Linked DNA regions of Oryzias latipes. The main gene of each other region encodes a partner of the protein of the gene in region 4 in a complex. Links are inferred from orthologs where the notes say so. Each region holds a gene or a part of one and is shown on either strand. Other genes may lie near its edges. The genes, in order: ppp1r8, ttf2, akap17a and c9h9orf78.

Region 1 (5,600 bases), on a different chromosome or scaffold from region 4:
CATTGCGGTGACTCCACACCCGTCACTGACAACTATCTGCCACTCTTCAACTGATGCACTAACTGCTAAGATTTTTTTTAAACTTAGGTGGATTTTATTTCCAGACAAAAAAAGTTACAAACAACCAAACTGTTTATTAATAGGAGTGGATTCTAGTGAGGCAGACCTACGGTAAAAATGTAAGCTGCACTTTTGTTTGACGATGAGTAACACTATAAATTGATGGGGGGTAAATAGAAGTGAATGGCTCCATCTCTGCCAGGTCACAGTGACTGGCCCATCTTCTGGTAACCTGAGAGGCAGAAAGAAGCTTTCCAGAACTCATCAGATAAGTAGCGAAAGGGTGGGTTTTTTGCCTGGCCAAGCCTCTTTGGCGTACTTCTTTTTGCGTGGCTCGTTGAGGGTCTCTGGTAGATACGGGGCTGTGACGGGCGTGGGATTGAGAGAAATTGGGGGGTGAGGAGCCTCTGGGGCCAGGTCCACCTCCGGCGCTGGGTTTGGGAAGGGCAAAGGAAGTCCTCCTTGCATGGCAGCACCCCCGGGCGCTCCTGTAGGCTGGTTTTCATGACTGGTGGGAGGCAAGTCCCCATACAGACCACCACCTAAGCTGTAGCCATGCATGCGCTTTGCTGTCAGCTCGTCCAGTCCCAGAGTGTTTTGGCCCTCCGCTCTGCGTTTCTACAACAAAAAAGTCAACTATTAGTCTGATGGGTTAAGCTGGAAGCTGTACAACTTTGTTTCTTTTACAGATTTACAGAAGGCATAAAGTCTGTTCAGAATTTAAATTATAACACTATATGTTCACATCGATTAAATAACTATTCTTGCTCTTTTTACCTTCAAAAACATCTTCTTGCTAATCTTATTTTTTTTCTTTAATGCAAGTTATTCATGTTATAAACTGACCAATCAGACGCCTCAATATAAGATTATGGTCTCATGTTGAACGTTAATTAATTTCATTTTGTTGGAAGTAAACCATTCTTGCTCGGTCCAGTTCTCATACAAATAATCACCAAAATCCTTCGACAGTTTACCTTGATGGGGATGACAGCTGTTTGCACCATGTTCCTGAAGCGACCGACCGAGGGGTCAATATCCTCTGAAAAGGAGAAAAAGCCTTTTAGAGATGTTTTCACACATCTACATTCATGAGAATCCTAATAACTGGAGAATAACATGGAATAGACACACTTTGACACAACTGCAAAAGTAATATCAATGTATTTTACAAATATTTTTCAGCCTTTTCATAAACTAAAATTTGGGTGTATATCTTTAGAAAGCAACATTGACAGAATTATTTGACTGTGCTTTAATAAAAAGGGAAATTAACTACACACCCCCCCCAAAAAAAACAAAAAACTATTTACCAGTACATAAACTTATATATATATATATAAAGAACTAGTCCACAGGAAATCTACCAAAAAAATATTCATCCTGTCTCAAGAGGTGAAAACAGCTATGATTAAAAACAAGAAGTTCATAAATGAAGTTTTTTATTTTTTACACTGGTAAGTACCTGGGTTAATGATGGAGTCCTCTTCACTGAAGGTGACTCTGGAGTTTCTGCGTTTCCTTTTAGGTCTTTGGATTTCCAGGTTGCCTTCTTCAATGGTCAATAGCGAGATGCGCTTGTTGTGAGCTGTGTTGAACTCTGTCAGATTCTGACAGGATTCAGAAACCACAAACATTTGTAAGGCGGCTACAACATTTCAACCAACCGGTAGACGGGATTAAAGGATTCATAAGTGGGAAAAAACATAGTAGTATTCTGAAACTAAACCTTGCCACTACTTACTTTTACTTTTACTTTGACCATGCACACATGGTCAAAGTAAAATATGCAGGTCTATTTGTATAAAAGCAAACAAGCAAATCTTAAACTTTAGTAGTTTGACAAATTTAGCCAGAGTTCAAGAATCAACAGGCAAAAAGACTGGAATAAACAGAGATGAAAACAAGATTGATCAGAAAACATAACGTACATCTAACTCTGTTTCTTCTTCTGGAAGACCTAGAAGTCCTTTGAGCTCCTCGTCATCTCCCGTCTTATTGTCTCCTGTGCTAGTGCTGCCTTGGGTTTGGGGTTTCTCTCTGATGATATACGTTCGCGTGGAAGCCCCAAAAGCTAAAGTGGAGTCTATAGGAACCTGCTGAGGCTTGTGGGCCTCGAGGCGGATGTGTCCAAGGAAAGTACCATGTGCTGAAAGGGTAACAATCAAATAAGGTTTCCCAAAAGAATAAAATAAAGAGGTAACGCAACACTGTCATAACAATGAAACAATACTACAACAAAACAAGATGCAATTTTTACCACCACCGTACACTCCAACTCTTTTAGCAATTGGGAAAGATATTTGCTTTAAAGTCAGAAAGTTGATCAAATCTAAATTTTTCAGTGATACGATCCGTGATTTCATCACAACACATGAAATACAAACAAACAAAATGTGTATGGATGTTGAAGCTGTGGTGATCCTTTTAACTCTATTCATATGATTTAATATTCGTAAATGTATCAAACGTGATGGCAGAATGTATTCAATTCCTAAATGATTAAAATGCTTCAGTATTGCATTCTGCTTTGTGTACCGTTTCTTTCTTCCAACAATATAAATCAAATACAAAGGTAGGACTAAAAGCGATCCCTTACTGCTGTTGAGGTCTATAAGGAAGAGTCTTTTTAGGTGTTTGTGGTAGACTAAGGCAGCATGAACACGGGAACATGACTGATGGTCGATGGTGAAGTCACACCAGTCGGGGTTCCTCCCAAAAAGGTAAAACTTCTTCTCATCAATAATCAATTTCTATAGAAAAGAGAGAATGTTTTTTCTGTCAGTCACACATAAAGTATGGCTTCAACAGTACAGGTGTACCTCTGAGTCATAACTCATCAGTGTCGCTTCCACTGATCAGCTTAAACCTCACGGCTGATTTTGCTGTAGCACCGTTGGAAGCCATGCAGCCACAGACCTGTCCTGATGTTCAAACATCAGGGACAGAGCAGACTGTCAGGCTCGTGTATGGGTGCATGTATGGACTTACACGATACATGATTTAACAACAGTAAGGCACAAAAGCAGAATAAGCAGTCATATTACTGCATAACAGGACCAACATCTGCACATTTTCATTCAATTATTACCTCTATCAGTTTGTCTCCCTTCATTACGTCAAGATGAAGCCCCGTGGGGGGTTTGCCTGCCCTGTAAACAGACGATCAACTACTGTCAATATTTAGGGAAAACAAACAAACATGGATCATGCACAAATTAATGTTACAATAAATGAATTCAAATGTCTTTTACATGTTTCTCTCCGCGCTAGCTATTTCAAGAATAAATATTTTAAAGATAAATATTTTCCACATTTATAATAATAATTATTTTTAATTGATCTGGACGTGAATTCTACTCATACAAAGAACACGGCTTTCCCCGTTCGAATAAATAATTTCTAGCCCTTCTGGTTAATTGACGCCAACAACGCTAAGGGTTACCATGCTAACCTAGCTAATGTTAGCAACTGCAACTACAGACTTCTACTTAGCATTAAAAGGCACAAATGAACAGGTCAAATAGCTTTGCAAATGCACATCCAGCAACGCGTTACAAATTTCTAGTTTGTTCTGCAATAAGTAAGTTTTCTCACCATGATGGACAATCAAAAGGCGGAGGACCGTCTTTGCCTGTTTTAGTCGCCATCTTGCTTTAGCATATTGCAACCAAAATGCATGCTGGGTAAACAAAACATTGGGATGTCGGGAGTTGTCGTTCAGAGATAATAATGATAGTAAGAGTAATAATATTAATAATAATTTTACCATATTGCAATATTCGTCAGATTTGTACAGGATACAGGGAATTATTCTTTTTTAGTAAAACTTTTGAAATAGTTTTTTTTTTTTTTTGGCAAATGATCTTCACTTAAAACTTAATTGCACTGTAAGATTTATTAACAAAAAAAGTTCAATTTTGATTTACTTGTGTTAAATCCATTCATAGAAAATGTAATATTTTAATTAAAAATATACAGATTAATTTTAATAATAATGTCATTAATTTTAATTTCACAACAGTCCTGTAATGGGACTCAGAAAAAGTTATAAAAAATATTTGATGACAAAAATGACTTTTTTTGTTAGCTTTTCTCTTTTCTCTTCATGGTTTACACAGCAGAACCCTCGACCACATGCCTCCCCATCTATCCCATAGGAAAGATGTTCTTCTTACTACAGTACTGACCAAAAGTTTGGACACACCTTCTCATTCAAATGAATGGGAAGGTTTGTCCAAACGTTTGGTCTGTACTGTATGTTTAATGTTTCTTTTCAAGATGATGAGTGGTTTGGGAGTAACTTTTAAATACTTAACTAATGAAAAACATTATCATATTATATTTTGAAAAACAAACAAACAAAAACAGTTATAATTCAAGTAATTTTTTATTTGATTTGCATGTTTCTTTGTAAAGCTGCCTAATAAACATGAAGAATTCAATTACAAAAGACCACTAGAGGTCTCTAAACTCTTAATTTGAAAATGGAAACATTTTCTTGGAAATAAATGATTGGTCAACATGTGTGGGATTCTGTGTTGGGGGGCTTGAAGTTGTGTCTGTATCTATTTCTGCTTGTGAGTGGGTGAACTCCTTCTGGTTTTTGCTTTTTTGGTCAGGCCTGAGGTGGGTGGAAGGGGGGGGGGGGTTACCTCAAATTAACTGACTCTCTTGGATCCATTTAGAGTTCTATGTTTTAAATAAAAAAATATGTTCAGCGTTGACCTCTGTTAGTCAGCTGGAGATGGTAAAAGTTTTGTTTACAGATGGCATAAAGTGTAAAGCTGAAGCAGAAGTGAACTTTCAGAAAGGATGATAGACATTTTCAGAAAAGCGCTGTGAGCTGGATCCATAAAGAGGGGGTGCAGACACAACTTTTAACTGCATTTGATTCAGACATGTAAGGCTTCAACCAAAAATGAAATGTTTTCCGTCTATAATTTGCAAAAGGGGTAAAGATCACATGTTTAGTTAATGTGTCACACATCCAAATCCAGTTTTCCTTACCCAAGTACATTTGCATACAGTAAAATAAAATAAAACGAGTTCTAAGGTTTAGGCATTGCAGTAGAGTTAGTCCTTCTAGAACATTTTTAATTCAGAAAGAATGCATTTTATGTTTTGTTCCATTGATAGAGGAGAAATTGTTCTTCTCAGATTCTGTCTCTCACACATTCATGTGCATATATGACATCTGTAAAAACTCTTATTCACTTTGTGGTGTATTTTATTAAGCTGCAACAACTGTAACATTGTCTGTGAGCCAAGACCTGAGTCATATCTCACTGCCTTTACCACAGTGTGCACAACTTGTGCAAATAACTCCCTTAACTTCCTTGTTCACTCTTGTGGTTTTTAGATGCGAGAGCATCTCCTTTTTTTTTTGTTTTCTTGCTGTGCTTGTCATTTACCTCCTGCTTTCATTTCTGAGAGCAGCACAGAAACAGCAATGGCAGGTGCCATCGCTTTGCCGCTTCAAGAATACTTTGCATCCTTGGACAAGGCCAGTTTGCCAAAGATTCTGCAAGTGTGCTCTG
Region 2 (5,516 bases), on a different chromosome or scaffold from region 4:
GTACATATATGAAAAAATTACGCTTAAAATTGCATTTATGACTGTTTTCTATTCAAATGTTACGGTTGGGGGTTCCTACAGGGGGTACGAGGGGCTGGAAGCTAGAGGGAGAGACTGTAAACAGAAAGCTCTCAGTAACAGTGAAGGGAAAGGGGGCGGAGTTGTTTCATGCCAACGGTCCTGCCCACAACTCAGACGTGAATTTCTGATGAACTATTGCTACTCTGCAGAAACTATGTCCTAAAAACGACACGGGTTTTTTGGTCCTGGCTAAAAACGGCATCTTCGTGATTCAAAGACCACTGGAAATGCTTTGAAAATAGATTAAAAGATGATCGGAGTGGGACTTAAAGGTATGATGAGAAGTAAAGATATAATAATTTATTAGAAAAGTTCTTACCTGTTCCAGTTTCATCATTATGGGTAAATCTTCGTTTGCCATCGCATCCAGTTTGTCGAACTGATCCTGTAGGATTGCTGTCGGTACAGACAGTTCGCAGTTCGTCGGCCTATACGTTACATCCCCGCGAACAGGCCGCTCACAGCCTTCAGCGCCAATGAGGCTGCTGTCTGTGGAGGCGGACAGAGGGGCGAAGTCAGAGGCGAAGGAGTCCTCCGGCATCTGCGGCGCGGGCCCCTTGGCAGTGACGTACCGCAGCGATCCGGCCAAATCCGGTGAGGGATGGAGGATGACGCCGGCGCGGGTCCTGCTCGGCGTCCAGCGAGCCAGGATGTCTGGCTCGGGGAAGCCAAGCCCGGCAGGAGATGTCATGTTGACCCAGGTTGTTTAGGAAGCTAATCCGGGATTTGAAAAACAGATTACAGTGGCCGGTTAAAGGTTAATTTCATCATGACGAGACATCACCGGAAAGGATTCACGTTAAAAATCCCAAATAAATTTTAAAAAAAGTGTCAGACGTTAAACTTTAACGAACAGTGTGTCTGCAAATAATACCGTTAGTGACAACAGCTAATTAAACTGCTAACATTAAATTGTTGTAATCAACATTTGTTTAAATATTTTAAAAAAGGTTACTGTCATTTAGTGTAATCAGGCCCAGGGTGGATCTATCTACACAAAAAAACGTATCATGTTACCCGCTCCCGCTGTTTGCCAAAACTGTAACGTTTCTTTTAAAAATTATTAACAAAATAAAAAAAGTACGCATTATAATCTAATCCAAAGATATTTACCTTCAATACACAAGAAATGCAGCCTCGTTCTTGTAACATAAAACGTTGTGTATTTACACCAGAAACAAGTTTTGAAAGCTGCCGCCATATCAAAACAAAGCCCGCGAGAGTTCTGCAGCACTGGTGAATTGTGGGTATTATAGTTAAAATTTTTTAGACTTTAAGATCTCAATTTTTTTAATTTATTGTTGTAATTATTTTAAATTATACTAAATATATTTAATAATATAAGTGACTAAACAAATTTAGATAAACATAACGCTCACCTTTAGAAGCAGACCAACAGCCACACGAATTACATCCGGGTCAAGTCCATGTTTCAGAACCCAAAGTCATTTATTTATTATGTCTTACATATTTAGTATTTGAACAGCTGTTTTTTGTATTAATCGTTTTGACACTGACTAATATGTGTCCTTATTTTATTTTAATAATTTTTATTTTACCCAATCTTTTGGAAATAAAAAAAGCCCACCCTTTCATGGGGTGTTCCTAAAACCGGATGTGCCTTCTGGACGTTTTGATTGGTCGAAACAAAAATACCCGAGTTTGATGACACGCAGGGCAGTTAGAAACCAAAGCTTAAATACGTTGAGACAATGGAGAAGGTTTTGTGCAGTGACCACGGTACGTCAATACATATTATTTGATCTTGTTTAAATAAAATGTGCTGTCGTCATTTTAAGTTTGGAAACGCTTGCTGTCATTTAATGTCATGTTAGCATAGAATTTTCGTTTTGACCTAAAACTTAAACTAAAGTCAAAGTGTAGCTCGTCGATAGTGGTGTGGGACTTGCAAATTTCTCAGTTTTTCCGTATCTGCTTTCTTTTGCAGGTGGCATTTGTATGTTGAAAACAGGGGTTAAGGACGGACCGAGTAAAGGCAAAAGTTTCTACGTCTGCGTAAGCGAGCAGGGCTGTGACTTTAGTCAACAGACCAGGTAATTTCCCCAATGCCTCGGCCTCGCGGGTGTGACTTTCAGTTTTAAAATCTAGTTTTTATTTTAGAACTTTCTATAGTATATTCAGAGAGATCAGTTATCTACAAGTGCAGAATATATAGTTTAGTTTGATAATGGCGTGGTTTTGTGTAGGTTTATGATTATGCCTTGTAATAACTGTCGCTGTCATGTGTGCCAGTCTCCCTCCCTCCCACTGCATCAACCATGAAGATTCAATGGTAGAACTTCAGGCCATCAGCTTCAGCCAGAAACACCAAAGCCACAGGTATGTGTGTGTTTATCCTTCACACTTACAGACCTCCTCTGACGAAAATTGTGTTTTTAAAATGTTTTCATATGTGTTGCTATAAAACTTAAATGTTGCATTTTTCTGATGATGCAGAACACATAAAAAGAAAATCAGGCTTAAAATTGCTTTTCTGGGTCTTTCTTTCTTTAAATCATTGTAAATCAGGATCAGAAGAAAAAATTGTGTTTATAAAAACAGCTTATTTGTGACGTAGAAAATCCGCTGGATGGGTCGCAAGCTCCCTGCTGCGCTCCATTCTGATGCATCCACTTGCAGACAATTTATCTCATGTACGTCTTTGTTTTCCTCGTCTGAGCTGACACCCGGCTCAAAACTGTATGGGTGGATAGCTCTGATATTGTTCGCCATTTCTGTCGCACCAATAGCTAGTGTGAGAGTATGTATGGGTTATGGGTAACGGGTTGCTGTGCACCAACTGTCCCACCCACAACTGAACTCAGAGGTGAATTTCTTATAAACAACTGCCGCTCTGCAGAAACTACCTCCTGGCAAACGACGCAGGGTTCAATTTAGGTGGAAAAAAAGTATAATTACAATTAAAAGACAGTTGGGAACGCTTTTGCAAAAGATGATTGGTTTGGGGGACTTTAAGATGGGAATGTGAAATATGACTCTTCTTTTCTTTGTTTTTTTTTTTTCAAGGCTTTACTACAGATGCATTGTGGGTAAAAAGTCCGGACAGAGATGGTGTGGTAGTGTTCCTTGGACTACAGTAAGACCTGTTACACATTTAATCTCAAACCAAGGCGGTGACATCTCGTCTTTAATTCAGGACAGGCTTCTTTCTCATCTCTTAGTTGTTACATTTTAATTTCTCTAATAAAAACAGCATCTTATTGTGTTGTAACTGCACATTTTTCCTATCTGATATTCCTATGAATATCTTGCATTTTTATATCATAAGAAAAATTACCTGCAATAAGTCACCACTCAAATTTGATCAAAATAATACAGTTCTTTTAATTTACATAATTATTTTCATTTGTGGTTTGACTTCTTTATTAATTCTTATCCTATTCCACTGCAGCAAGAAAAAGAAAACAGAATCCCTCTGTTAAGCACACAGCTTCAGCCTTCCTGCATCCCTCCTATCAGAAACCCTTTTAAGGCTCCTGGAAAGATGTACAAAGACTCTGATTGGAAGAAGATGGAGGTTGCTGGACACAAGGAGAGCGAGAAGAAAAACATGAAGACAAGTCACATGGCTGAAGGTGGAGAAGGTTTTCGGAAGGAAATTGCAGAAAAAATAAACACCTATCAAGGTAAAACACTTCCACAGGGGATGAAGATAAAGAAGAGGACATCGGGGGAGGACAGCAGCAAAACTGACAGCATAGAAAAGACAACAGCTGTGATCACAGAAAAAACTGAGAAGAAGCTTGAAGGAGCGCAAAATAAGACGTCTACATCAAGCACAGAAGTTCAGCCTGAAAAAATGAATCAAGTTTCCTCTGATGTTCACAAAAGTTTGCAAACTAGTGACAAAGCCCTGCCAGGGAATCAAACTGACCCCCCGGTCCAAAGGAGCATCACTGAATCCAAACCCAGCAACAGCTCACATGCTTCTAGGAGCCCTGGCTGTGTTGCTATATTAGATGAGGATTCTGAAGAGAGCAGATCCAACAGAGATGAAACCAATGACGATGTAGTGTTTGTGTCAGAGAAACCCGCCTCTCAGAAAACCACCCCGACATCTGCGATCCAAAAGACCATAACCAACTTTCCAGGGTTCCAGTGTGTGGCAAAGCAGGGAGGCCCTAAAGAGAGGCTTAACCTGCTGTCTGTTCAGCTCAAACAGAAAAAGGTACACAGGAAGTTTTTCTAGTAAGAATAAAAAAAAACAAATGTTTTTCTGTCATAACAGGAAAATAGACCTTCTCTTAAGATGTCATTTCCTTTTTTTGTCCCTGAAGGCCACTCTCTCTGCTATAAATGTGGCTGCTTTGCCAGATAAAGGAGAGAAACTGCAAATCCAGATCAAAGAATTGGAGGACGAGCTGGAGTCACTGAGTTTGTCTGCAGCTTCTCATACAGGTGAGGTGTCTGCCACACTCTTAAGGTTCAGAAACACACGGGTTCTGTCATTTTGATTTACATATTAGCTTGTTGATGCTTATTGAAGGTAAATGAGGAATGACTATAATACAAAGACAGTTTCAAGTCCCACTCTAATGATATTCTGATCTAATGTAAAAGCGTTCCAAGTAGTTTTTTTTAATCATTATTATGCTGTTTGTAGCCAAAAAAAAAGAAACAGTTGTTTTCTAGGACATATTTTCTGCCGAGCAGCATTAGAAATTCACCATTACCAGTGCAACAGAAATGCAATAAGAAGTAATATTGGGACTATCAAGCTGTAAAGTTTTGAACCAGATACCAGCACGGACAAGGAAATCAAGAGCTTGTGGCCGGCCGATTGTAGCTTCTGCCTGACTACAAGCTTTTTCAAATGGCATTACCCGTATTCAGTTGCTTCTGATTCTCAACCATTTGAATAAAGAAATACTCAGAAATGCAACTTAAAGTTGAATTTTCTTTGTCCTCCATCATCAGAAAAATGCTGCAAGAACATGTTAAAAACACCCAAAACACAATTTTCATCAGCGGGTCTTCAAAGTTCCAAACTTTGATTCGCTAAATTGGTAGATTTATTGTTTCCAGGCTTTTATTCATTCACCAACACTGTCATAAAAATTTTTTTTCAGAATCAGTGGATGAGAGCAGAAAACCCGACAAAGGCACCACCTTCAGTAATCCATTTGACCGACAGGGGGGCAGCATCTTCCTCCCCACTCCTCCAGTGCCGGGCCCGCCCCAGATCCAGGGTGCAGGCAGTTCTCTGGGGCTGCAACACAGTCAGATGCCTGCGCAGACGCATGGGGGTCAGTAGTGTGCACTGTGCACACTTCTCTGCTTTTTGTCCAGCTCCTCTGTGACTCGTTTCATACGTCACGTCCCCCCCAACACGCTGGTCTCATTTGAGCAGGCGATCACATGCAGGCCTTTTACGGTGGAAGGATGACTTATGATCGCCTGCTGGCTGTGAAGAA
Region 3 (5,667 bases), on a different chromosome or scaffold from region 4:
CTAGATTCAAACAAATGGAAGGGATAACTCCTTCAAAATGAGTTTCATTTAGTCATCCAGTCAACACATGCAGGCAGGCATAGACATTGCCTGAATAAAAAGAAGCTTCATAAAAACTATAAGAACTTCAATCAGTACTTTCTTGGATGATAATCCTATTTGGTGAATAAATAACCGCCTAATCGGTTAATCACCAAAAATACATTTGATGTAAAAATGAATATTTCATTCTATCTACCACCAAACTTTTATACTGTGGCAAGTAGAGGATCCAGATTAGATCAAGGCATTTTAACCATAATTTCATCTGGATTCTTTAATTGCCACAGTAAAAATGTTTTAGCGAATTTATTGAAGGAAAAAGTAGTTATTTTCATCCAACACTGGTTTAACAAATTCTTTGGAAAAATATATAATCCAACTGAATCAGAACTTGCCTTTTTATTTGTTTGTCATAACAAATTAAAAGTCCAGAATTGACAAAGACAACACAAAATATGTTGCCATTATTTCATCTCTTCTTCTACTTGGTGTTTGGATTTTATTATTGGTTTATTAATAAAGAACTCTGACGCTTAGGGGGTCTTTCTGATCTTTGAACTCAGACACTTTCACCTGGGTTCTCTAATTGGATGTAAAAAAAAAGCAGAAATACAGACTTCTTCCTACACAAAAAAAAAAAATAGATTCAGACAAACTGTTCCAAAGAAGAGCAAAAAATGAAAAACATTAACAGTATGAGGTTCTATAAATGCTCTAACATGTTAATAGAGGGAAAGCTGATCAGCAAACCTTTGCAACTATAAACAATCTGTATTTTTCTATTTAATTTAGCTTTTTGCTGAGAAAACATGATTTGTACTGAACAGCCTGGTTAAACGTATAGAAATGTAAAAATAGTCACATACAGAACTACCAACTGAGAAGAATGTATGTCTTTAATCGACAATTACCTTCCCAAATGTCTGGAAAACAGCAATGAGGACTTCTTCTGAGGGCCGATCTGGGAACTGACTGTCTTTCTGACTGAACCAGCGACAGGGAAGGCCTTCCAGGTGGATGGTGTCCGGCCTCTCTCCAGGCAGGGTCTCATTCATGTCCTTAGCATCACGGAAAAAGGAGTCCCAGTCATGGCGGGTGGGGAATTCCACCTTATTTTCTACTGCCCGAACCTGAGGGACGAAGACAGACCAACGAATGCATCACATACAGTCCATCCATTTTGTGGTAGAGATATAGTTGAAGTATTAGTCTAATGGAACAAATTATAATGTATAAAAGTCTTTAAAGTCCCACTCCAATCATTTTTTGATCTATTGTAAAGTGGCCGGGATAGGCTCCGGCAGCCCCGTGACCCTGAAAGGGAATAAACGATAGAAGATGAATGAAAAAAATGAATCAATGTAATCGTTGCGTATTCTTCTAGGACAGAGTTGCTACAGAGCGGCTGGAGTTCATTAAAAATTTGCCTTCGAGTTGTGGGCGGAACTGTTGGCACAGAGTAAGCCTGTCCCCTTCCCATCATCCATCTGTTTACGTTCTTTCCCGCTAGCTTTCAGTCCCCTCACAACCCCGACATGACATTACTGGTGCACCAAGAATTGCGCCCAATATCGGAGCTATCCAGCTGTACAGTTCTGAGCTAGATGTCAGCTCAGATGAGGAAAACAAAGACGTACATGGATCTATTTGTCTGCAAGTGGATGCATCAGAGTGGAGCGGAGCAAGGGGGGTTTGTGGCTTGCCATCGTAGTTTCTAAATCCCACCTACAAGTAATTTTTTGTCTGCTCCTGATTCACATGATTTCACTAAAGAAATACTCAGAAATACTAATTTAAGCTTGATATTTTTCGTAGATGTCTCCACCATCAGAAAAATGCTACAAATTCATAATTAAAAACACCCAAAACACGGTTTTCATCAGAGTGCGTCTTTAGTTTAAACGCAATAATTAAGCAATTGGTGATTCAAACTGTCAGCCTTACCTTGAGCACATCGGTGAATCCACTAAGTTTAATGGTCTTTCCATCAAGACGGCTTAGCAGGCCTTTGACCACAGTCTTGTTCTCCACCTCGCCCTCAAAGCGGATGAAGTCCATGGTGCTCTTGGAGATTCTGAGGGCGGAGAACTGCTCAGGAGCGACCATCGCCTTCACCCTCTCCATCACTTCCCAGTTGGAGATGCTCTTGCCTGGCAGCTTGAGCTGGGGTAGGGCCACGCTGACGGTCATTTTAGCTATCGGCTTGAGGTACAAATTGTACTCGGCGGACAAGCAGACTGCCTCTGTGGTGTCGTGGACGATGGTGGTCATTGTCATTCAGAGACGAGTGAGGATGCCCCAAGGACCAGAAAAATCAGAGATTTTCCAGCTAAGCTAGTTCACACATCTACGCAGACCCTGTAGCCAAAACAAGAACAAAAATATCACAAAGAAATAAAGAGAATTCCACAAAACTGACAGATTTAGACAGGACTTGTGTATGCCAGTCCCCAATGCTACACATTTCTTTTTTTTAATCACTATTATTGTTGTTATATTCACTTTTTTTGACTAGTGATTTTATTCTATATGACTGTCTGTTATATATGGTTGTGGTGTTTATATGTAGACCTCAAGTCTGTAAATAAACAAATTAATTGATGCTATTCAGCTTAACCTCTAGCTGTTACAATTCTATTCAATGTTTTTTCTTAATACTCGAATCAAATCAGTAGCATATTTATACACGAATAATACTATACAGGGGGAACATATTTAATTTACTAGCAAATAATTACTTACAAGTACTTTAAATAAATGAATACCAAACCAAAACATCAGCTAAGTTACCGCTAACTTGAGCTACCCATCATGCTACGCAACGAACAGAAATACATTTAGGATCGTAAATCAATAATAATGAGGGGAAACGTGATAAACAGCGTCACAAACACACCAAGTCATTCTTTTCGCACAAAGTCATCAGTCATAATCACTTACTCTATGGTTTGCGTGGCGGGGAACCGTGTAGTTAGCTTAGATAGCTCCAGCACCACAGATGCCTTTTTTCTCCAGTGTAGCAGCTGTCTGCTATTACATAAGAGTTGGCTAACGTTAGTTATTTTTAACAACAACTCGCCAAACATTTAAGTCTGGGTGTATAAAGAGTTCCTGAGCCTGAGAGCCAGGCGCTGCAGAGTCAAACTATATATATCATACAACTATTTCATTGAAAAAAGCCGTGGTACGCCGATTCCGCATCCAGTGAACTTTGACCTGACAAGGAAACTACGAGAAACTGCTATTAGTGGCGGTGGGAAGAAACAGCGACACACTGTGGTAAAAGCTATACTATATATTAAAAAAAATAATATCCTCCTGAGACCCGGCCCATTCACTTATGTCCTCTATAATGGTCATTTTGTTTATCTGTATATTTCTAAGGAATTAAGAGATGCCTTTCCGAATCCTACTTTAATCTGTAGAGGACATCCTGGGCTTTCCATTGATGTGTCATGTGATGAGTTTGCATGCTGGGAACTTTAAGTTTTACCTCTACAAAGATGGCTTCCATGCCATTTACCTAATTTTATGGAAAGGTGAAAGGCAAGTCAAAAATTATGTATCTATTCCTTTTTTTACCATGATAATTATATATATTCTTGGTCATAAACATGTTAGGAACAATATTTTTAGATCTGAAAAAAGTTTCATGTTTTCGGTTTTAAAACAGCAGGCATTTAATGAATGTCCACTGTAGAGGACACCGGGACCATTTTAATGTATTTAATTGCTGCACATAATGTTTGGAGAAAAAAGTGAAGCAGAGAGGATTTTATACCAGATAGTTGAGAGAGATTCAGATTTGGAGCTTTGAGATGATAAAAAGGATGAGATTCAGGAAGAAATAACTGTTTTTTTTAAATAACTTGATTTTTTTGTGTTTTTTAAACGTCCATCATAAGAGGTTTACACCTGTACTACCAGGGCGCCCTGCCTATCAAGATGACGCCAAAGTTTGTGAATACCGGAGTTCAATCTCGTACTTTTCCCAGTACATTGATAACATTTTTGAGGATCTGTTTTTGATCTAGTTTTGTTCAAACTACCAGGGAATCACACACCCCCGGCTCTCTAGGAAAGTCAATAGGCCACAGTACTGGAGAAGACAGTCGGTCCGATAGTGGAACCTCAGATCCAGGAACAACAGTTAGGTTTCCGTCCTGGTCGTGGAACAGTATAACAGCTCTACACCCTCTCTAGGGTGCTGGAGGGAATGCGGGAGTTCGCTCATTCAGTCCAGATGTGTTTTGTGGATTTGGAGAAGGCGTTCGACCACGTCCGTCCCCCGTATCCTGTGGAGGGAACTATGGGAGTATGGGGTCCGGGGAGCCTTACTGAGGGCTGTCTGGTCTCTGCATGACCGGAGCAAGAGCTTGGTTCGCATAGCCGGCAGTAAGTCAAACCTGTTCCCGGTGCACGTTGGAGTCCAGCAGGTCTGCCCTTTATCACCGGTTCTGTTGATAGTTTTTATGGACAGAATTTCTAGGGCACAGGCAGGGCCCGGAGGGGGTCTGGTTTGGGGACCATAGGGTTTCATCTCTGCTCTTTGCAGATGATGTTGTCCTGTTGGCTTCATTAAGCCGGGACCTCCAGCATGCATTGGAGTGGTTTGTGGTAGAGTGTGAAATGGCCGGGATGAGGGTCAGCACTGCTAAATCTGAGCCCATGGTTTTCGACCAAAGAAAGGTAGTTTGCCATCTCTTGGTGGGTAGAGTGTCCCTGCCCCAGGTGGAGAAGTTTAAATATCTTGGAGTCTTGTCCATGAGTATGGGAAGACAGGAGCATGAGATTGACAGGTGGATCGGAGCAGCGTCCGTAGTTATGCGGTCGCTGTATCCGTCCGTTGCGGTGAGGAGAGAGCTGAGCCAATAAGCAAAGCTCTCAATTTAGCGGTCGATCTTCCTCTGTAGCAGATGGTCCAACAAGTAACAAAAGAGTGATGCTGAATTTTATTGTTTTAGAACAAAATGTAATGTTTTTTGGGTGAATATCACTCTAAAGATTTAATCTGCTCCTTTTTTCTGATTTTCCAAATTAACTTCTATTTTCACAGAAATATCGTCCTGTTGTCCTCTACAGTGGACGTGTTGGGAAATTAAAATAAAAAAAACATTTTTAAAAAAATTTAAATTGTAAGGTGTTTATTTAGGCCCAAATGGATAGGAAATCACAAAAAAACAGAAATTGTAAGACACTTTTTTTCTTCGGTTCTCAGGAGGATAAATATAATATATATCATATATTGTGTATCTGTATAACAATTCTGTATCTGATCAACTGCCACTGGTGCTTATATATATATATATATATATAGAGAGAGAGAGAGAGAGAGAGAGAGAGACAGAGAGAGAGAGAGAGACAGAGAGAGAAATAAAACATTAGAGAGAATCAAAGCCAGCAGGCTTTAGAGGTAAAGAGAAGAAGACTTTATGGTGGAATGGAGTAAGACATTATACAAATAGACGGTACACATATTTAAATATCTGTTTCTTGTTTGGTAGCAGACTCAAAGGCCACAACTACCTGTGAGTTTCATGTAAAGCTCCTAGATCTATGTGACCCCCAGTCATGCCTTCTTAGTGATGCACAACTTTTATTACCTGTTGCTTTTGATTGATTACA
Region 4 (5,489 bases):
GGGCAACTGGTACACGAGCCTTGCAACTTCAGTTTAACGACTCCATCCTCAAACCCTCTGTACACAACATCGCCGCCGTCCTCCTGCACCGTTGGCCTGCAGAGCGAGAAAACAGCGTAATAGAAAACAACAGCTTTAAGAAATAAAGGGATTCCAGAGTTTCATTTCAAGAGGTCTTACCTTATTCTAGTGTCCAGGAGCTCTTTGATCATAGCAACCACTTCATCATCCTCATCTGACGGTGCTGTGAAGAGAAATCGAATGTCTCTGGATTTTTAAAAAGTCTATTTACTCTTCAGTGCAGAATAATACGTACCTGTGTCTGCGCTGGGCTTGCTGTCCTCATTGACAACAGGGAGTCCAGAAGTAAAGAAATCCATGATAGCAGCAAATACATCTGGTTTTATTACTTTCCATTCCATGTTTGCATCAGACTAGAGGAGAAAGTGTATGTCGCTCATTCAGGATAATGCTGACAACTTGACATATATTCATGTGATGGTTTTACCTTTGTGATCGTAATGAAATCTGGGCCAAGAAAAACACTTTTAACTCCATCAATCCTAAAAAGCTGCCTACAAACACAAAATAACACGAATTTAGTGTTGCAATTGAATGCATTTAATGTTTGGGCCATTTGACAAGACTTTGTTGGTATCATGAAGAAACAGAATAAAGAAATAAGTAATAAGTAAATGTAAGTAAGTAAAATAATATATCAAATATATTATCCCAAACAAAATAATTCTCAATATTTTTTAGCACAAATGTTTTAAAAAGCAGTATGCATACCTGCAAAATAATCTGAGGTGAAAACAGAAGTCAAGGGAAATTAATTTTTTAAATGAAAAGTATATTCCCTTGCAAAAACAAACATTTAAAAAAGTAATGTTAGCTCATTTATTAGAGGGATTGCATTGCAGTGTTGTTAGAAATAGCAATTAGTTAGTTTTCTATAACTTGTTCCAAAAGCCTCCAGTAAAATTCAACTTGACAAAAATGTGTACATCCGTGTTTAATGAGTCCTATACCTGGCTAAGGGGGAGCAGTATGCGTCACGAGGGCCTCCAAAATCCATAGTCCCTTCTTCAAGAACCGTCCGGCCAGGCAGAAACTTCAGACTGTTTGGATTAGGAGTGTCCTGCGTCTGCACAAACATTGTTCGTCCTGAATATAGACAAAACAAGAAGAACCACAAAGTGACAACAGTAGTAAGAAGGTGGAAGAGATATGTCTGGTTTTTTACTTCAAGTTCACACACAGGATTTTCTCACGACAAAATAAACTTTACCTACATGTAGTTTGGTATTTGTTGTGACTAAACCCCAAATGTACACATCCAGATTGGACATGCTCACAGTTTGAACACTTTCTTAGAACATGCTGCAATCACCTCTATATCATAGTACCAGTGTTTAAAAACTAATGCAAATACTGGATGATGGAATAAGACAACAAACCAGGAATAACCCAAATGGGGTTTAGTGGCATTCTGTTTGAGACTCTTGTTGCCTGTGATGGAAATCCAGTGCTTGGACAGCCGCTGCCAACGAGCCTAAAATTCATAAAAAAAACAAAACAGAAAAACTTTAATGACAAACAACAACTGTTATAAATGTAAACATTTCAGGTATGTTTAGTGTTTGGGAAGAACATAGTGATTGACAGTTGTTGTCGCTCTTTTTTCTATGGGGTTTAGAGAAACTCGAAATTGCAAAAGAATTTGCACGTACGTAATGTAAATTTGGCAAGCTGATTTAAGTACGTGTACATATTAAACTGCAACGTTATTGACGCACAGGTAGAGAAGAAGCGGAGTGACTTTTTAGCCAATCAGAATGCAGAACACAATGCACGATGCAAATCCGTGAAGTAGCGAAACCGTGAAAAGTACACCGCGTTATAGCAAGGGATCACTGTATACAAAAAAAGCATAGTTAGGAGATTAATGAACAATCTAAGTGTTCAAATATAAAGTAAATAATTCATATTAATTCTAAATCTCTTCTTGTTTTTTGCCTTTACATATTTTTGAAGTGTTAAAATTGTAGAATCACAGAAGCAACAGCCTCCACATAAAATAAAAATCATTGTTTTTTTTTAATAGACATTTTATTTGTCACACACATATACATCTATTGTATGTGTGCAGTGAAATGTATTGCACGACTGAGGAATGATAACGATAAAAAGCTAGATGACTGAATAGAAAACAAATTTCAATAACAATCCAGCTTACTTAAGGTCACAAAAGTTTAAAGTGTCCATTATGTGGTCTAAATGTCTATAAAAGTGAAGTTTGCACGTGCATTTAAATGTTTCTCCAGACACGGCATCTAAAAAACCGGCTATATTTTTTATAGATACGTTCTGTTATTTGTAAGAATGTTTTGGAAATCCTCAGTGAGTGTGAACAGTTCATTTGTGTCATGCGACGCATGCCATGTATGTAAGTGAGCCATGTCATTAAATGTAACCGCTTTCATGTCCTCTGTGTTCATACACACATTCATACATGAATTACGAGAAAGATTAATAAAAACAGAAACCCAAATGCAAAGCACTTACGGCCTTAAAAGTCTCGCTGAAACGCCCAGCAACCTTCCAAACTGTGCGTACGCCGCCATGATTGTTATGGTTAGCTAAACAAGACGGAAATGTGGATTGCGCAAGCGGAAATGACGTAAGTATTTTGTTCATCTGTTAAAGTGTTCCCCGAGACTGCTAACGCGAAAGTCGGTTTTTGTAAAGCTCTGCGTTATAAGGAAACCGATACAATACAAAAATGCCTTCCGGTAAAAATTTTAGGAGGAGAAGGGACTCATCAGATGACGAAGAGGAAGATGAGACAACCGAAGAAGTCAGGTGAGTTAGTTAGACGCAAACTTGCGCCAGCTACTGAGGTAGCCAGCCTCCGGCTAACGTCGTTGTGTCTGTTCATGATTTTTTTTAAACTACATCTAAATTTTAAGATTTTTATTGGAACAAAAGTTTACCACTTCGAATCTGTGCTTCTATCTTGTTTGCAAAGATCAAAGCTAGAGGAGGCTAAAGAAATCCAGAGTTTAAGGAAACGTCAAACCGGTGTCAGGTAATCATTATCACTGTTGTTTCTCGAACTCAAAATATTTTTACCAGATGTACGTGAGTTAAAAAAAAAAACGTGTTGTTATTCTTTAGTGTGACTGCATTACTCGTTGGAGAGAAACTTCCACCAGAGGCTGAAATTGATGTACGTATGGTCCGGATGTTCCTAACACTGCACTGCATGTCTGAGTCACAACAGCAACAAGACTTGTGTAACAAACAATCACTGTTTTCAACAGAATGACCCGTTTAAGCTCAAGACAGGAGGCGTGATAGACATGAAAAAGGTGAAGGATAGAAATAGAGACATGTAAGTAAAATGTTTTTTTATTTTATTTTTTTATATTCTTATTCATTTTATGAATGTCTTACACAGCTTGCCATTCTGTACATAATGCATTGTTTTTGGTTGTTTTCAGGACAGAAGATGAGACGGAGCTGAATCTGGGTACATCCTTCTCAGCTGAAACTAACAGAAGAGATGAAGATGCAGACATGTAAGGACTCGCTGTACAAATACTATAAAACTTTAATGGCCTTATCCACACCTTTTAAAACAAACACTTAGAAAAAAACCAAATCCATATGAGGTATTTTGGAATCAGAGCTCCTTAGACTGTGATTCCATGATGTTTTATCATCAGCTATTAGAGTTTGGTGCATTGCTTGTTGGATAAATGGCCCCATATACGAATGCCTCAAAACTCTCCCTTTTTTTGTGCATAAAGATTTGTCATTGCAGAAATAAGTCTTGAATTTCTTCTTACAGGATGAAGTATATTGAGACAGAGTTGAAGAAGAAAAAAGGACTGGTGGAGGCAGAGGAACAGAAAATCAAAGTAAAAAATCCAGAGGACCACCTCTACGAACTTCCTGAGAACATCCGAGTCAATTCTGCCAAGAAGACGGAGGAGATGTTGTCCAATCAGATGCTGAGTGGGATCCCGGAAGTTGACCTTGGCATTGAGTATGTTCAGGAAGCTGCAAAAATGATCCCTGCTTTAACTCTTCAGGAGGTTTAGTGTGTGCTTAACCTGTTTGTGATTGCTTTTCTAGTGCAAAGATAAAGAATATTATCCAGACGGAGGAGGCAAAAGCAAAGCTTATCGCGGAACAAAGAAACAAGAAAAAAGACAATGGCACCTCATTCGTGCCCACTAACATTGCGGTGAATTACGTCCAACATAACCGCTGTAAGTTCTGGAAGTTTAACTAGGAAAAAAAAAAAAACTGACTCTGAGAGTAACTTGAAAATTGTCCTTTTTGTTTCAGTCTATCATGAAGATTCAAACGCAGCACAGAGGCATCACAGACACAAAGAACCAGAACCCAAACCAAGACCACTGCGTGTGGGTGACACAGAGAAACCAGGTCTAGAAGGTATGACACTTCACTTTCAAGTGCTAAGAGAAGACCGTTTTTTTGTTTTGGTTTCTTATTTAGTCTTTCTAAGGTAATAAAATAAAACAAGGTTTTTAAGAAAATCATTACATTTATTTTAATTTAACTTTACAAATAATCTCACCTCCTTTTTATTGTTTTATATTTAGCCTGTAGATATTCTCTTAAATCTTTGAGAAATGTAAACTAAAAGCTATATTAATTAATTAAAATTTGAAATGACACTGTCTTCAGCAGCTCCATCTCCACCCAACTTCCGCAAACGGCCGAACAACGAGAAGGCCACAGATGACTACCACTATGAGAAGTTCAAGAAGATGAATCGAAGATATTAAAAAAGATCCAGCTTTTTACCGAGTCCAGCAGAGTTATTGTCAGTCGTGACATGGTTATTAGTTTAGATAATTCACATTTCTTTGCTGTTTCTTCCGATTTAGTATTTGGTCAATTGTTTGTAGAAACATCTTCCCCTGTATTTCGTAGATAAAAACAAAACCTCAATGCTAATGAGCATTTAAAATCTTCACACTGAAACCAAATCTTCCTTCAGTCCTGCAACAATTTGAATACCAACAGCATCATTAGTATTAAGAAACTTTAACATACTTTACTTGCTGATCAGTTTCTCAAATTAATTTTTAAAGCTTTTTCTGCTCAATTTATTTTCGATGTACATAACTTCCTGTTCCTTGAACTGTTAGAAAAGATAAAACCATTAACGATGTGTTCTTTTATTTTGGCTAAAACATAACAAAAACATTGCTTGTTAGGTGTAAATATTTAGGTCAAACTGTATTCAATGTTCAAAGATTCATATTTTTTAAATCTTTTTCTTTTCTTTTCTGTGAAGTTTATTAAGTTACCATTGAAAGATGTGTATGGACAATAAATGGGACTTTCAAATCCAGTTTCAAATAAGATCAATGTAACACCACAACCAAAGGTTTAATGAAAACAAAAAAATGCTGCTGTCACAGAACAAGAGTTCTGTCCATGTCCAA

What was found.
Region 1: c9h9orf78 (region 4) and ppp1r8 share a complex: the UniProt entries of both Homo sapiens proteins name them as parts of the spliceosome. The link is inferred for Oryzias latipes from reciprocal best matches to the Homo sapiens genes C9orf78 and PPP1R8.
Region 2: c9h9orf78 (region 4) and ttf2 share a complex: the UniProt entries of both Homo sapiens proteins name them as parts of the spliceosome. The link is inferred for Oryzias latipes from reciprocal best matches to the Homo sapiens genes C9orf78 and TTF2.
Region 3: c9h9orf78 (region 4) and akap17a share a complex: the UniProt entries of both Homo sapiens proteins name them as parts of the spliceosome. The link is inferred for Oryzias latipes from reciprocal best matches to the Homo sapiens genes C9orf78 and AKAP17A.

What each region holds. Positions count from the first base shown.
Region 1 is NC_019874.2:22,801,691-22,807,290, forward strand, and holds the start of ppp1r8 (nuclear inhibitor of protein phosphatase 1), read right to left. Parts: upstream 3,758-5,600; 5' UTR 3,711-3,757; coding exon 3,658-3,710; intron 3,213-3,657; coding exon 3,152-3,212; intron 3,040-3,151; exon of another isoform or gene 2,901-3,039; coding exon of another isoform or gene 2,883-2,900; exon of another isoform or gene 2,875-2,882; intron 2,814-2,874; coding exon 2,660-2,813; intron 2,210-2,659; coding exon 1,992-2,209; intron 1,671-1,991; coding exon 1,526-1,670; intron 1,103-1,525; coding exon 1,038-1,102; intron 679-1,037; coding exon 325-678; 3' UTR 1-324. Other genes in the region: protein THEMIS2, read left to right, coding at 5,423-5,600. UniProt on the Homo sapiens protein: Inhibitor subunit of the major nuclear protein phosphatase-1 (PP-1). It has RNA-binding activity but does not cleave RNA and may target PP-1 to RNA-associated substrates. May also be involved in pre-mRNA splicing.
Region 2 is NC_019879.2:11,144,482-11,149,997, forward strand, and holds the start of ttf2 (transcription termination factor 2), read left to right. Parts: upstream 1-1,709; 5' UTR 1,710-1,793; coding exon 1,794-1,821; intron 1,822-2,029; coding exon 2,030-2,135; intron 2,136-2,334; coding exon 2,335-2,421; intron 2,422-3,108; coding exon 3,109-3,178; intron 3,179-3,493; coding exon 3,494-4,270; intron 4,271-4,379; coding exon 4,380-4,500; intron 4,501-5,171; coding exon 5,172-5,348; intron 5,349-5,452; coding exon 5,453-5,516. Other genes in the region: cenpj (centromere protein J), read right to left, coding at 401-772. UniProt on the Homo sapiens protein: DsDNA-dependent ATPase which acts as a transcription termination factor by coupling ATP hydrolysis with removal of RNA polymerase II from the DNA template. May contribute to mitotic transcription repression. May also be involved in pre-mRNA splicing.
Region 3 is NC_019879.2:18,185,057-18,190,723, reverse strand, and holds the start of akap17a (A-kinase anchor protein 17A), read right to left. Parts: upstream 3,268-5,667; 5' UTR 2,983-3,267; intron 2,401-2,982; 5' UTR 2,320-2,400; coding exon 1,987-2,319; intron 1,173-1,986; coding exon 954-1,172; intron 1-953. UniProt on the Homo sapiens protein: Splice factor regulating alternative splice site selection for certain mRNA precursors. Mediates regulation of pre-mRNA splicing in a PKA-dependent manner.
Region 4 is NC_019867.2:17,114,842-17,120,330, forward strand, and holds c9h9orf78 (telomere length and silencing protein 1 homolog), read left to right. Parts: upstream 1-2,689; 5' UTR 2,690-2,785; coding exon 2,786-2,865; intron 2,866-3,031; coding exon 3,032-3,091; intron 3,092-3,180; coding exon 3,181-3,232; intron 3,233-3,326; coding exon 3,327-3,397; intron 3,398-3,506; coding exon 3,507-3,584; intron 3,585-3,856; coding exon 3,857-4,054; intron 4,055-4,143; coding exon 4,144-4,280; intron 4,281-4,359; coding exon 4,360-4,467; intron 4,468-4,722; coding exon 4,723-4,823; 3' UTR 4,824-5,394; downstream 5,395-5,489. Other genes in the region: NFU1 iron-sulfur cluster scaffold homolog, mitochondrial, read right to left, coding at 1-96, 181-244, 317-434, 509-575, 1,032-1,167, 1,461-1,555, 2,569-2,627. UniProt on the Homo sapiens protein: Plays a role in pre-mRNA splicing by promoting usage of the upstream 3'-splice site at alternative NAGNAG splice sites; these are sites featuring alternative acceptor motifs separated by only a few nucleotides. May also modulate exon inclusion events.